Astyanax mexicanus: one gene and its partner. The protein of the gene in region 1 interacts with the protein of each later gene in a biochemical or structural test. Links are inferred from orthologs where the notes say so. Each region holds a gene or a part of one and is shown on either strand. Other genes may lie near its edges.

Region 1 (3,757 bases):
CTGTGTTCTGTAAAGAAAACAGAAGGACAAATCTATGAAATAAACGTTTATACAAATTAATATAGTAAAAAAAAAAAAACTAAAACCTTTTTGCTAAAATCTGCATCAAAAGTTTGGGCAAAATGTCTATAAATAACAATACCCACATATAACATTACTCACATTGCTTTAATGTTTATGCCAGATTATGTTTCTTTCTCTTTACAGTATTAAAATATCAGAAAAGGTTATGTAAAAATTTGTCAGTGCTCACAGCTTTTAAATATTTTTTTAGCTAGCACATTTTCTGTAAATATGTATATTTTGTCAAGACTATTTATATCATGATTAAAAATCTAAATTAGTTGCATATGTATTTTTATCTATATTTGTCATTATTCTCTTTAAATGTGTGTTTTTATATCAAGAGCTTTAGATTTATTATTTTAATTTTATCTCTATATTTATGTATATATCAGTGTATATTTGTTAATATTGTGTGTATTAGTGTATTTTTTCTGTTAATATACTCTGTGAATCTGTATATTTTACTGTATATAATTTTGTTAATATTTTCTGTAAATCTGTATGTTTTAGTGTACAATATTTTTGTTAATATTCTTTGTAAATCTGTATATTTTACTGTATAACATTTTTTATAATATTCTCTGTATTTGTGTATATATTAGTTTATATTATTTATGTAATATCTGGATATTTTCATGTATATTATAGTGTATATTTAAGTGTGTATTTTACTGTATATTTAGTTGTATATTTTACTGTATATTTAAGTGTATATTCTACTGTGCATGTAAGTGTATATTTTACTGTATATTTAGATGTATATTTTACTGTATATTTAAGTGTATGTTTTACTGTATATATTTTACAAGATATTGTTTTTGTTAATATATTTTCCCTGTTTTTTTTTTTTTTTCCAGTTTTGTTTTTTTAGTCTGTGGATCTCGCTCTCGGGTTCGCGACCGTGTCACGTGATCGTCGTGAACGCGCATCGCTTCATAAACAACATGGAGGGTCTGAGGCAGAGAGAGGGGCTCATAAAAGCGGATTAGAGGAGCGGGGGAGCGAGCTGTCAGCCGGGGGTCGGGTTTGTATGAGTACAGGGAGCGGTACCGCAGGTGTCCGGGAGTAACAGTGGACGCGGAGAGCTGAGAGACTGCAGAGTGACGGTAGGCCCGTTAGCACGGGGCTAACACTCACATTATAAACAGATAAAGACAGCGGCGGCGGAGGGGGGCATATAAACACTGTGTCACAGCGGTGAACAGTGAACTGGGGGCTGTAAACACAGGTCACTAGCGGGGTGTGTGACAGTGGGCTGTGAGCTGACCTGTGTCCTGTCCAGTTTAAGTCTGTGGGGAATGTTTTCGTCCTTGGTTCCTTAATCGCCGGTTTCTTATTGGATCTGTCCCTTCCACCTTAAATGGTACGGCTGCTGTGTTCTTCTGAACGCCAGAATGTAACTCCTGGGCCATTTAAGGTGGAATAGACGATTCCAATAAGAAGCCAACGTTCAGGGTCAACATATTGTATGTATGTCTGCCCATGACACTGCCTGTGTGAAATGCTGATCATAGTCTAAACCAGTCCACCCTGCTCTCATTTCTTTCTCGAACTTCAGTTAGCTATTGTGATGTGTTGGCAGATGCAGGTGGAAGAAAAGAGAGCTATAGATTATCTGTATTTGAGGATTGAATGTTTTGTTTGTGTTAAGTGTGAATACTATACTGTTTTTTACACACCAGAGGAAAAATCCTGTGAATCCTGTCACGGAAGTTATGAAAGGAACATAAAGGCCATTGGATGTGGTAGTACAGTTTAAACATAGTAGTTAATGAGCTATATACATATATAAATATCTAACCATTATAAAGCTTAGTAATTATTAAAGAAAGACACATCTGATCAGTATTGACAGGTTTTACTCCAGGTTTTAGTATCATATCATATCAGATATAGGAAACAGTATGTCTGGTATAATATGTCAATTCAAATCATTGTGTTCTGTTTCATATTTCCCCAGGTGCTCGGTCTATGGGCTCTCAGTCCAGTTCTGGGATGTCCGGTCGGGGCTCCAGCGGCAACCCAGACCAGTCAGAACCAGAATCTAACCAGAATTCCAACCAGAGAGGCCGCCGGCAGCCCGAGAGGCAGGCAGACAGAGCATCAGCGTCCGAGGAGGACGTTGATTTAGCACAAGTACTGGCGTACCTACTGAGAAGGTGAAGTGGAGACCTGTTAATATAATTTTTGTATTATTTATACTACTATGCAGTTTGGTAATAATTTCAGTACTCTTAAGTGCTTTAAATACTTCATTGAGAAACAAGCGATACAGTGTTCTATTGAAATTCACATTCATAAGGTTTACTAATTCTCCTAGTTTCTTTTCTAAGTTAAATGTTTTGGAATATTTCATAATGACTAATACCATGATTTTTTTTTCTTTTTAAAGAATTTTTTTTGCTATTGTTATTTTAAGTAAAAAAAATTTTAATGTAAATGTTAATGTTGTCAATTAAAAAAAGGATTTGGTATTCAGTATACAGTTATTTAATCAATTTGTGTCCTAGACAGTAGCTGCAACGATTAGTCGTTATAATCGACAATGTCGATTATTTAAATTTGTCGACTACAACAGAACAGATTACATTATTAATCACTAAATGTCAGTACTCTCCATGTTTAAACAACTTCTGGACATTTAAATGCCTTTTAAATCTCATGTTTTCTGTTTTTTTAGAGATGGAGAACATGGCACAAATAATCGTTGATTAATCGACTAATCGAAATAATTATCATCTGATTAGTCCACTACCAAAATAATCATTAGTTGCAGCCCTACTAGACAGTCCGTAGTAATGTAGGTGTGTAATACAAATATGCATATATATATATATATATATATATATATATATATATATATATATATATATATATATATGTGTTTGTGTGTGTGTGTGTGTGTGTGTGTGTGTGTGTGTGTGTGTGTGTGTGTGTGTAGTGACATTTTCATGCTGAAGGGGATTTTTAATATGACCTTGTTTTTATGATTAACATGCTGATGCATGTCGAGATTAAACAGAGATATTGAGATAAATAGGTCCACTTTCATTTACTGTGTTCTGCCAGAGTATAATGAGAACCACTGATATAGACTTTATAGAAATGCACTGTGGTTCACTCCGAAAGATTGTTGCTTTGTCAGTCCACCAAAGCTTGAGGAATTTAAGTCTTAAAAGCTGGTTTGTGTGTTGTGGAGGGGTTGTAATGTGTGCTGTGTGTTTGCTTGTGGTGTAGGGGCCAGGTCAGACTGGTCCATGGGAGTGGAGCAACAGGACTGCAGCTCGTCCAGTCTGTCTCAGACTCTGATGAGGACAGTGATGGAGCCTGGGAGGGACGTCTGGGACACCGTTATGATCCTCCGGGTAAATATAAACAAATTGGTTGATGTATTTAATTGGTTTCTAGAGGGAAATGTATGTGAAACAGCAGCCAAGAAATAATCACCTTCAATACTCAATCCTTATTACTCACTGCTACACCTAATTACACACACTGCATGTCTTTTTGTTTTAGTGGACTCCCATCCGGATACTCAGGAAGTGGATCGCAGTGAGATCCGAACACAGATCCTGCTGGCCACTGCCTCCTCAAATCTGAAGGGGAAACACAGCTTTACACACATGCTGAATCAGGTGAAGGACCATCAAATGATAGTTACTGTTTTTTTTTATTTGAACAAAACTCAAGA
Region 2 (3,757 bases), on another chromosome or scaffold:
GGATTAGATAAAGCAAATATATATAGTTTAGGAATTTTAGGCGAGACTAGAGTGTAAATAAAAATGGCAACAGAATAATAAAGCATTTCACTCACTTTGGCACTTCTTTAATGTATCTGTCATAAGCGAGTGTGTTCTTTCCATAGTTGATCTGCTTTTGTCTCCTCATTAAAACAGACTCATCTGTCTCAAATTCTCCAGGTGCAGGAGAGTCCCTGGAATCTTTGGAGTCTGAACTGCACACAAAATGAAAAAAAAAAAAAAAAAGCATTAATACTAAACCCCTTCAATTTCACAATAGAAGAAAATCTTAGCAATATTAGCCATAACAAACCTTCCAGACGAGGTTTTTCTCTCTCTTTGTGTAAACTCTCCAGCCAGTATCCTTCGTCTGTAACTGAAACAACAAGAAATATTAAATTTACAGACAAGCACAGATCTGCTTGACATTAACTAAACCTGCTAAAGCCTGTAACAAAACACATAAATAAGTAAATTAAAAAAGAAAAGAGAAAAAGAAAGAGAACTGACCGCTGCATGTCACGTCGCACATTAGTGCGCATTTCATCAAACTCCACCTCATCTCCCCAGTCCCTTATCCTCGAGACAGGTCCCTCGCTTTCTGGAGTCGTGAAACTAGTGGTGGAGAATAAAAACATCATTATTTAACCTGCTACTGCTTTTTAGAACACAGAGAAAGACATTCAAAATTATGCCTAAAACAGGGTACTAATTTTTGACACCCCTGACCAAAACACATGCGCACACACACAAAAGGAATCATAACTTTATTCTAACAAAAACATAAATAAAATACAGAAATATCTTTACCTGTTAGGTCTGTGCGGTCTGTTGCCTTTTCTGTCAGTGTTATTAGTTAATTCAGCTTCTTTCTGTGATCCTCTCACGACTCCATCAGCTCCACGCTTCCGGCACTGCGACCATCTGGAAGACCCTTTGTTCCTGACAGAATCACACAGACACAGGGGGTTAAAAACAGAACTGAATCAGACAAAAACAAACAGAAAAAAACATTCAGAATACTTCTTCTTTCAGTTTATATGTCACCAAATATATTCAGAATCAAAGTTTAAAAGACTTTCTATAAAAATGTCACATAAGCATTTGCAAATTAAACCAGCTTTAAGTTTTAAACAATTCTAAACACATCAACGCTCTATTTAATGTTAAATTATTTAGTTTGTTTATTTATTTAGTGTGTTAGTCGTCAGGTAACGCCAGCTAATCTAGCAGCTTTATTTTTCTGGAACTCAGAACTCAAACTGAACAACAGCACTTTACCATTTCGCGCCAAAGCAGAAGAGACTCCAGCGCTCAAGCTTTTCTCCAGCCAATTCAGAATTAAATACTATTATTTACACTTAACATAATACTTGATTATATTAATAATAAAGTTCAGCTGTCGCTCAGTTAACTTGTCCGCTCGCAAATTTGCTAAGCCTAGGTTAGCTAGTTAAGTATGTTTAATATGACATTTAGTTAGTCTAGCTAAGTTAGTTATTTTAGTACAAAACAAAAAATATATAAAAATATATATAGTCAAATCACAAGCTTAATGACCGAACCAGCCAGCTGTTAGCTAGTTAATAAACTAGCATTGTAACTGTTTTATTAATGTAGTTAAATTAACAAGCTCACCATTAATAAACAAACACTCCAGCACAATGAACAATGCAGTTCAGCAGGGTTAAATAACTATCTATCTATATAACAACGAATCCAAATCAAGCTCTTCAAGGTTAACTAAAAATAAAAACTCTTGCACTAGTTAGTTAGTTAGTGTTAGGTTATGTTACTTAAAGTTTGTTACACAGCTTCAACATAAAAAATGAGGCACACTTAACGTTAAATAGCTTAGCAAGCTAACTTAACTAAATAACACAATCAGCAGCAAATTAATAAATCAATAAAAGTGTAAAGGCTGGTACCTAAATATTAAATAAAGTATAAATTTGCTAAAACAGCTCCAAAAACGAACAGCAGCTCTCAGATAGCCGGATAATAATCCCGCGGTTTCTGAAACTCGCGGGAGAAATGAAGCTAAGCTAACTAGCCTAGCCCAGTCCGGCTAACTCACACACAGATCCGGGTAAAGCGGAGATAAACACGGATTTATTGAACTTTAATCCCCACAAACTACATCTAATCAACCCTGAAACACATGTACCTGTTCTCCTCCGCAGCGCAGCTCTCCTCCTGTCTGTATCTGCGCGGGTCAGACATGATTTAAAGGGTTTAAAGCGGAGCTGCTGCTGCTGCTGCTGGATGATGATCTGGTGTTGCTCAGGGTTTGATAAACCGCGCCACAGTCCCGCAGCCCCGCCACACTACACCGCCTACACCCGACAAAATAAAAGTCCCCATTTTGGCGCCTCCTTTCTCTACCATAAATAATGGTGAATATATTGAATATTTTTGATGACCCTTTATTTTGATCACAATGATATACAAATATAGTTAACAAATATATACAAATATAGTAAATTTAATTATTATTTTAGGACATTTTTATATACACCATACTAAATTAACTTTTTTTTTCAAACTTTTGTTTACTCAGACTTAATTATTATAAAATATATATATATAAGAATAATTATTTCCACTTACTGACTAATTTTCGACAAAATAAAAATAAAAAATGTCATAAATCCATCGATATTTTGAAGCGTTTTAATTTTATTTGAATCCCACTTTTCTTTTTTTCTGTTGTTTAGTTTTTTTTTGTTTTAAAGTGCATGTGCTGTTGTGGACTGTTGTTGCTGTGTATTTGACCTATTATTGTGTATATTTCATGCTGTTGGATTGTATTGTTTATTGTTTGGATACAAAATGAATAATAATAATGAAAAAAAACAACAACAATGTGTTTTGGGTTGATAACTAGTGGATTTAAGTTACTACAAACTGTACATTTTGTGATTTGTAACCAGAATCTGTTTTACATGTTTTTTGTATGTTTTGTTTGGTTTCACTAATTATGAGAAGGGACTGAAAATATATATATATATATTTAAATGTAATCTAATTTGCATTTGTTTGTTCTTTTTCCTCCCTGGCTATATTGTTTTTTTGGTGTGTGAGTTAATCTTTGTTGTTTGGAGTTGTGAACCATTTTTTGGTTAAATGTATCTATTGCAAACTTTTTTAGGAATGACTTTTTTGTTTTTATTAGAACATTGAAGTCATTATTGAAACCTATGCCTTCAGTCTTACTTAGAAAATTGTTTTTACAAAGACCTAAAGCACATACTTTATAGTAACCTAGCTTAAAGGCCACTCTTGGAGGCTCATGAGTAAGAAATTATAAATATGTTTATAATATTTAATCTAGAACCCTGATATTTCTCCCGTTTTTCTTGTTCACACTAGGCAGGTAAATCCAGTCTGATCTGACAGCAGCTGCCGACTCTTTATTGCCATCCTTTAAAAACTGCTCAGGTCATTTAAATAGTTTTGCATTGCAAAGATCTCTATTGTTTAAACCATTTGCTCTTTATAGAAATGGAAATGTGACCCTTGTTTGTGCTTTTGTTAGACAAATAATAAAAGTCTTTGTTTTTTTTTATGACTTGAAGATTAGACCACAGTTTAAAACCTTCTCACAGAATCACAGACTGTGGCTATAATAATAATGAGAAATATATTTAATCCTTATTTATTAGGCCTTTTTTATTTGCATTATATACAAAATGACTTAAAAACCTCATGAGAAAAGAAAAAGTTAGAGTAAGAG

What was found. The genes of interacting proteins can lie anywhere in the genome.
Region 2: the proteins of dcaf11 (region 1) and histone RNA hairpin-binding protein form a complex in vitro, tested with the Homo sapiens proteins (2 studies listed by BioGRID, with this or other methods). The link is inferred for Astyanax mexicanus from reciprocal best matches to the Homo sapiens genes DCAF11 and SLBP.

The regions. Positions count from the first base shown.
Region 1 is NC_064408.1:89,574,424-89,578,180, reverse strand, and holds the start of dcaf11 (DDB1- and CUL4-associated factor 11), read left to right. Parts: upstream 1-979; 5' UTR 980-1,172; intron 1,173-2,026; 5' UTR 2,027-2,037; coding exon 2,038-2,225; intron 2,226-3,303; coding exon 3,304-3,431; intron 3,432-3,582; coding exon 3,583-3,701; intron 3,702-3,757. UniProt on the Homo sapiens protein: May function as a substrate receptor for CUL4-DDB1 E3 ubiquitin-protein ligase complex.
Region 2 is NC_064417.1:317,457-321,213, forward strand, and holds the start of histone RNA hairpin-binding protein, read right to left. Parts: upstream 2,345-3,757; 5' UTR 2,245-2,344; coding exon 2,189-2,244; intron 964-2,188; coding exon 832-963; intron 637-831; coding exon 532-636; intron 398-531; coding exon 335-397; intron 237-334; coding exon 96-236; intron 1-95. UniProt on the Homo sapiens protein: RNA-binding protein involved in the histone pre-mRNA processing.